Linked DNA regions of Rattus norvegicus. The protein of the gene in region 1 binds, or shares a complex with, the protein of each later gene. Links are inferred from orthologs where the notes say so. Each region holds a gene or a part of one and is shown on either strand. Other genes may lie near its edges.

Evidence for each region.
Region 2: the proteins of Prkaa1 (region 1) and Prkag1 are in contact, whole or in part, in a crystal structure (PDB 6C9H), measured with the Homo sapiens proteins. The link is inferred for Rattus norvegicus from reciprocal best matches to the Homo sapiens genes PRKAA1 and PRKAG1. Residues at the interface, in NP_006242.5 of Homo sapiens: Ser295, Ser296, Thr297, Met298, Ile299, Asp301, Glu302, Lys305, Arg342, Glu347, Ala348, Phe351, Tyr352, Leu353, Arg369, His371, Pro372, Glu373, Pro376, Phe377, Asn449, Val451, Thr452, Thr536, Pro537, Arg538, Gly540, Ser541, His542, Thr543; in NP_002724.1 of Homo sapiens: His36, Asp40, Leu41, Ile42, Pro43, Thr44, Ser45, Val50, Leu64, Val65, Gly68, Val69, Arg70, Trp75, Ser77, Lys78, Lys79, Gln80, Phe82, Pro158, Glu159, Ser160, Gly161, Asn162, Lys170, Arg171, Lys174, Phe175, Leu178, Phe179.

Annotation. Positions count from the first base shown.
Region 1 is NC_086020.1:55,995,148-55,998,964, reverse strand, and holds part of Prkaa1 (5'-AMP-activated protein kinase catalytic subunit alpha-1), read right to left. Parts: intron 779-3,817; coding exon 292-778; intron 189-291; coding exon 62-188; intron 1-61. UniProt on the Homo sapiens protein: Catalytic subunit of AMP-activated protein kinase (AMPK), an energy sensor protein kinase that plays a key role in regulating cellular energy metabolism.
Region 2 is NC_086025.1:131,842,196-131,846,012, forward strand, and holds part of Prkag1 (5'-AMP-activated protein kinase subunit gamma-1), read right to left. Parts: intron 2,775-3,817; coding exon 2,665-2,774; intron 2,517-2,664; coding exon 2,435-2,516; intron 2,349-2,434; coding exon 2,290-2,348; intron 2,155-2,289; coding exon 2,109-2,154; intron 2,019-2,108; coding exon 1,964-2,018; intron 1,653-1,963; coding exon 1,526-1,652; intron 1,354-1,525; coding exon 1,188-1,353; intron 1,051-1,187; coding exon 1,013-1,050; intron 813-1,012; coding exon 666-812; intron 551-665; coding exon 443-550; 3' UTR 1-442. UniProt on the Homo sapiens protein: AMP/ATP-binding subunit of AMP-activated protein kinase (AMPK), an energy sensor protein kinase that plays a key role in regulating cellular energy metabolism.

The DNA.
Region 1 (3,817 bases):
TATAAACCAAATTAGGTAACCAGGCCAAACACATCACCTCCATGGTTTTACGTGTACATACCATCAATACTTCGGAAATCCAATAAGTAAGTCCTACTATCCACTTGGTATAGCTGTAGACTCATTTTGGAAAATGTGCTTGTCACAGGGTTCTTCCTTCGCACACGCAAATAATAGGGGTTTACAACCTAGCATTTGATGTGGATGGAAACAAAGGCATATCAAATCAGTTCTTCTACAAAGGCCTTTTGTCTACAATGCTCGCTAAATGTGTTAGAGCACCTGCCTTACCTTCCATTCATAGTCCAACTGCTTGATTGCTCTACACACTTCTGCCATGATGTCATTGGGTCGGCTTTGACTTCGAATCCCCAAATGCCACTTTGCCTTCCGTACGCCTTGGTGTTTGGATTTCTGTGGGTTTAATTCATCTAGGGTGTGTCGGGCCCTTGGTGTTTCGGCAACCAAGAATGGTACTCTCTCAGGGTGAGGCCGAGTTAAATGGTGATCATCGAGGAAAGAATCGGGTGGGCTTGTTGCCAAGTAGAAATCTTTGGCTTCGTTCATTATTCTCCTGTTGTCTATTATGAGGTGGTAGGCAACTGCCAGTGGGTCCTGGTGGTTTCTGTTGTACAGGCAGCTGAGGACCTCCTCCTCTGAGCACTCGAACTTCTCACACACTTCTTTTAAGGCTTCATCATCAATCATGGTTGAACTATAAGACGGGTCTTCAGGAAAGAGATATTTTGGAAGGTCCTGCTTAAACCATTCATGTTCCCTAAGAGAGACAGCAATGTTGGAAGAAGAATTTTCAGTAAAACCAAGAAAATAAAAGTAGTAGTTTCAAGAGTTTAGGATATGAATTAATACTCACGCTACGTTACTACAGCTTTTCTCTTTAAACTGTTTTCCCTTCTAGCTCATACTTCATTGAATATGCTGAGAAAAACATTAAAATCTGCCACTAATTTTTTATTTATGTACTTTTATGTGTATGGGTACTTTGTACAATTTGCACACCAGAAGAAGGCATTGGATCCCATGGGACTACAATTACAGATGGGTGTGAGCCACCATGTGGGTGCTAGGAATTGAACTCAGGACCTCTGGAAGAGCAGCCAGTGGTGTTAATCGCTGAGCCATCCCTCCAGCCCCTGCCACTAATGTTTAAGGATCGAGGCAGTCAAATGAAAAGGCATGTATGGGGGTTGGGGATTTAGCTCAGTGGTAGAGCACTTGCCTAGCAAGCGCAAAGCCCTGGGTTCGATCCCCAGCTCCAAAAAAAAGAAAAAAGAAAAAAAGAAAAGGCATGTATGTCTACCCAAATGACAATGACAGAGTACAGTCTTTTTCCAGCCCACAAAGAAACTGTGTTGTGTGGCATCACTGTTTACACTGTTTCATGTTACCAACAAAAAGTGTGCAATATCCTATGGGTTCTTATGCAAGCTTAGCTTTACAACAAACCATTCACCCATGGAAAATCTATCCTCATCCTTACAACCCAGCTGCATATGACTCAAAAGACCATCCTCTGGACGATTTGTATTATATAATTGTATATATAAAAGGATATGGAACCATAACAAGAACTATACTAAAACTTAAACTTTTAACAAAAAATAAAAACAGGGCTGGAGAGATGGCTCAAGAGGTTAAGAGCACTCACTGCTCTTCCAGAGGTCCTGAGTTCAATTCCCAGCAACCACATGGTGGCTCACAACCATCTGTAATGGGATCTGATGCCCTCTTCCGGGGTGTCTAAAAACAGCTACAGTGCACCCATATACAATAAATAAATAAACAAACATTAAAAACAAAAACAAAGGAAACAGAAAAGAATAATAATTTGTTTCCAACTGGTGACTGGTTTTTTGAGACAGAATCCTCACTGTAGCCCAGGCTGGAATCAGACTCATTGTCATTCTCTTTCAGCTTCTCAAGTACTGGGATCATGGGTGTGCACCACCATGTACAGCATTTTATTGATTTAATAGCCTGAGTTCCCCTTCCCATCTGCCATGTGCTGCCACTTGGGGTCTCCTTTTCAGCAGGTCTTTCTGTGTTTGTTTTTTGAAACAAAGTCTCTCTTTACATTGTAATTGCTGTCTATATGCAGGTGAGTGCAGGCGACATTACATAGCTCTGACTGCCCTGAACTATGTAAACCATGTTGGCTTTGAACTCGCAGGCATCTCCCTGGCTCCACCTCCCAAGTGCTGGGGTTAAAGGTGTGCACCACCATACCCAGCTTCAACAGGACTTCTAGCATAAGAAGTAAGTGGGAAAGAACCAACTGAAAGTTCCATGTGCCTTAAGGCTTCCTACTTGCTACTCGTATATGCATGGTCTGTCTTTAGTTCTTTCCACTTCCGATATCAGGAAAATGTACAGTCTAGCTGTGATGGTTTGTATAAGTTTAGCCCAGAGAGTGGCACTATCAGAAGGTGTGGCCTTGTTGGAGGAAGTGTGTCACTGTGAGGTGGGCTTGGAGACCCTCCTCCTAGCTGCCTGGAGATGCTCAGTCTGTTTCTGGCTTCCTTCCGGTGAAGATGTAGAGCTCAGCTCCTCCTGCACCATGCCTGCCTGGATGCTGCCATGCTCCTGCCTTGATGATAATGGACTGAACCTCTAAACCTATAGGCCAGCCCCAATTAAATGTTGTCCTTTATAAAACTTACACTGGTCATGGTGTCTGTTCACAGCAATAAGACCCTAACTAAGGCACTAGCCATCAGAAGATCAAAGAATTAAGGAAAATAAAAACATCAAAAGATGAAAGAATTAAGAAGAAAAACAAAGGTATATTGGTGACAAAATAAGGTGTCCAGGGAGGACGGAGTGTTCCTGAGATGTGACTTACCACAACCTGAGCAGCACAGCGGCCACCATCAGCCCTGCCTTATTTAAGCTATTAGGTTAAACCATCATACACAATGCAGCATGAGCTGTAAAACGCAATCTCCTATGACTCAATGTGTATTGCTACAAGAAAAACATCTCATTAATAAAATGAAATTTTTCTTGTGTCTTGAGATTTGAAAAGGTAGAAAAATACATTGGTTTAAAATTATCTGATATTGCTGGGCAGTGGTGACAGCACATGCCTTTAATCCCAGCACTCAAAAGGCAAAGGCAGACAGAGCCAGCCTTGTCTGTAGAGTGAGCTCCAGGACAGCCAGGGCTACATAGTCTCAACAGAACTATGGATGGAAGGATGGATGGGTGGGTGGGTGGATGGGTGGGTGAGTGGGTGGGTGGGTGGATGGATGGGTGGGTGGGTGGGTGGATGGATGGGTGGATGGATGGGTAGATGGATGGATGAGTGGGTGGATGGGTGGATAGATGGGTGGATGGATGGGTGGGTGGATGGGTGGATGGATGAGTGGGTGGATGGGTGGATAGATGGGTGGATGGATGGGTGGGTGGATGGGTGGATGGATGGGTGGGTGGATGGATGGGTAGATGAGTGGGTGGATGAGTGGGTGGATGGATGGATGGATGGGTGGGTGGGTGGATGGATGGGTGGGTGGATGAGTGGGTGGATGGATGGATAGATGGATGGATGGATGGGTGGGTGGATGGATGGATGGGTGGGTGGATGGATGGATGGGTGGGTGGATGAGTGGGTGGATGGATGGATGGATGGGTGGGTGGATGAGTGGGTGGATGGATGGATGGATGGATGGATGGATGGGTGGATGGGTGGGTGGGTGGATGGATGGATGGATGGATGGATGGATGGATGGATGGGTGGGTGGATGGATGGATGGGTGGGTGGATGGGTGGATGGGTGGGTGGATGGGTGGGTGGGTAG
Region 2 (3,817 bases), on another chromosome or scaffold:
CATGGGAAGGACTGACAGCAAACAGCCCAGCCTCCTCCACACAGAGTGAAGAAAGAGGAATAAAAATACTTTACCAAGACTTCTGCAGAGCTATTCTCTTAGTGGAGTAAGGGCAGAGACAGAGGTGGGGCGTGGTGAGGTCTAGGGATCTCTTAGAGATCAGGATCTGCCTGAGGAGCACAAAACCCATGGTTCACCCACAAGGGGGCTGTGACGAGCGACTGGGGCTGGCTAGGCTGACAAGTGTTTTCTCAAGTGTAGCACGATGGTGAGAGAAGCTAACAGTCCTTCTCCTCCTTTCCCCTTCTCTAGTTCTAGACAGTGGGCGTGGAGCTCCTGAGGGAAGACTCCGTTCTCTCAGGATTCCATCTGATTCCGGCTCTTACAGCAGGCAGGCAGTGAGGGGGCCATCTCCCCAGGCACTGCCTGTTCCGCCCCATGCTCAGGGCTTCTTCTCTCCACCTGTGAGCACCAGAGCCTGTAAGATGTCAGACAGCGATACAATGCCCTTGACCACGTCATGTTCATCCACCACCACCAGACGGTGAACCTGGCACAGAGGAACAAGAAGTAATGTGAGTGCTAGCTGCAGTTAGGGTAGCTGCCTCACCCCTACCCTCTTGGGGCCACTCCCCACTGGCTGCCTGAGGCTGGCCGCTTCCTACCTCTGCTTCCACCAGTCTATTGATGATTGCTTCTAGAGTCTCATGTAGGTAGCACTTGAGAACACCCTCGAAGTAGTGTGACCGGTGCTGTAGGGCTTTTGTCACAGACACATCTAGGTTGTTGTATGTCTTTTCTGCTGCCAAATTCTGGAAGTGGGGAGCAGGCTTTGAAGGGGAGTCAGTTCCCAAACCCTGGACCAACCCGACCTCACTAGAGGGAGTGAGGGCGCTCTTGACCATTGCTCACAAGCAGTTCTGCCAGCTGGTTCAGGCGGAGGAGACCCCTCTGCTCCCTCTCCACCCCCAGCACCCCCTCCCCTCCCCTATCTCCCAGCCCCACCACTCACAATCACATCAAACTTGGAGTAGATGTCCACCACACGCCCTAGGGAGACAGAGGCAAGTCAGTGAAACAGAGGAGTGTGGTGGCCAAAGCCCCACTCCCTGTGGACCACCTTCCGGGCTGGGTTGGGGAGACCTGCCTGAGCCTGGCAGCCTCCCTCTTCTTGCCCCATCACTCACCTTTCTCATCCACCACAGGCAAGGCGGAGACTCGGTGCTGTACAAAGATGCCCAGAGCCACATAGACAGGTGTAGTGGTACGGACCATGGCAATATTGGCGTAGGTGCCAATCTGTAGCTCTTCCAGAGACTTAGACATGAATTCCGGCTTGGGGAACTCAGTGATCTGAGGAAAGCCATCAGTTTTCAGGAGCTTTCCTGGTAGACCATGAGGTGCTAGGTTCAATCCTCAGCACCAAACCACTGACCTGTCAGCTCGACCTTTAGGGCCCCCAAACTGCTGTGCATATGTCTCCAATCCATCATATAAGACGGATGAGCGGCTGAGGTATACTTACAAACAACTTGAGGAACTTGAGGATCCGCTTGTGAGTAAGAATGTACAAGGTGTTGCCTGACTCCGGGTCAATAACTGGAAGCCTGTGGATCTTATTTCGAATTAATGAAGAGACAGCATCGAACAAGCTGTGAGAAGACAGATCATAGTCAGGTTCCACAGGGCTAAAGCCCAGCTGCACAGCCCCTTAGAGTGTGGTTATAGCTCAGTGCTCAGACTTGACGAGCTGTGTGTAACGGCTGGGCGTGGTGAATACTTGTAAGTCTGTACTAGGACAAACAGAAGAGTTACAGGTTCAGGACAGCCTGAACTCTACAGAAAGGTCAAGGCCAGCTGTGGCTCTGGGAAGACTTCTTCACAAGCAAGCAAACAACCAAAGGCAGCGTGCACGAGGCGGGGTCTTCAGGTGTTTAGGGATAAACACAAAACCAGAACTCACCTGGCATTTGGAGAAATGCAGACAAGTGGCTTAAAGGAGTCTTGCAGGTAGACCTCTGAAGAGAACAGGGACAGTTCACAAACACTGCCACGTAAGTGCTTCCCGGGACACCCTCCATCCCTCATCTGCTACAACTTGTCCATACCTCTCCAAGTCTCTATCTTGTGCTCCTCCAGTTCATAGATCTGCACCTAGAAGCAGGAGCAGCAGACTTGAGACTCACTTCCCCTCTTAACCCAAGGAGCTTGGCTTGGAGGGGAGAAAACAAGGCACAGTGGAGCCAAAGGCAGGGCTGTGGTTTTGGTTCGGAGGTTCAGGTTCCTTACCAGGGCTGACTTGTAGTATCGGTGCAGAATATTGATGAAGTCAGTGATGGTCAGCATGCCTAGAAGCCAAGACAAGAGCCCTCAGCACAGTCCAGAGCTTTTCTCCCTGACTGGCAATAACTGTATTCCAGGAACTTCTGCTTACCCACAAAGCTCTGCTTCTTACTATCCCACAAAGGGGCAGCACGAACACCGTTAGTCACCAGGGCAAAGAAGGCTTTCTTTACCTATGGCCAAGAGAGCAACATCCTAAGGAAAATCCTCACAAGGCACAGCTGCAAGAAGAATGGGTTGGTGTGTGGGGGAGTATGGCGGATGATGACGGGCTTTGGACTAGCGCGTTTGAGGAACGTAGAAAGGAAGGGCTCTACCCACCTGCAGCGAAGTATCAAATACCACCAGCTTGGAGCTTGTGGGGATCAGGTCATAGCAGCGATGAGACTTCATGAAGGTGGTGTACACACTACTGTTCGATTCCGGGGTCTCTATGGGTGGAAGAGTCGTGCATCACTTTTACGTAGGTGGAGAACTCACGGTCCAGGCAAGGCCGTTGCTAATAATACTAAGCGCTCAGTCAACCTGGCCAGAGCATGGAGGACCACCCAAGATTCAGAAATCCAAATGGCGGGGCCTGGCCAGGTTTCCCTCCATTCTTCTGGATTATGACTTTTGGGGTTTTTGTCTTTTTTTTTTTTTTTTTTTTTGGGAGCTGGGGACCGAACCCAGGGCCTTGCGCTTGCTAGGCAAGCGCTCTACCACTGAGCTAAATCCCCAACCCCAGTTTTTGTCTTTTAAATAATTGTAAGGGGTTTTTAAAAGAAAAACTTGATTTTCTTGGGGTGGGGGGGATTTGCTTTTTCTTTTCTTTTTTTTTGGTTCTTTTTTTTTTTCCGGTGCTGGGGACCGAACCCAGGGCCTTGCGCTTCCTAGGCAAGCGCTCTACCACTGAGCTAAATCCCCAACCCGATTTGCTTTTTCTGAATGGGTGTTTTACTTTGTTGCCTGTGCACACATGTGTGCCTGCTGCCTGCTGAGGCCTGGGAATTACCGACAGCTGGGAGCTGCCATGTGGGTGCTGAGTTGACCACTCGTCCTCTGGAAGAGAAGTCAGTGTTCTTACGCTGAGCCAACTCTCTGACTCCTTCATTTACTCGAGATAGAACCTTGCTATACGCCCCGCCTGGCCTCAAGTTTGTAGTAATCCTACTGCCTTCGTTTTCCAAGTGTTGGGATTGCAGGGATGTATGCAGCTATGCCTGACAGTCTGTGTTTTCATCTGCCTGCTCTAATGGGGAGGGCAACCTCCACAGTGACGATCTAGATGTCTGACGTACTTTACACTTCAAAATAATGCATCATTTCATCCCCCACAGGCCCCTTTCCCATTTTTCAAGACAGGGTCTCTCTATGCAGCCCTGGTTGTCCTGGAACTCTCTCGAATTGAGAAACCCACCTGCCTCTGCCTCCCCAGTACTGAGATTAAAGGTGTCTGCCACGCTGCATTCACTCCGAAACTCTGAATTCTTAC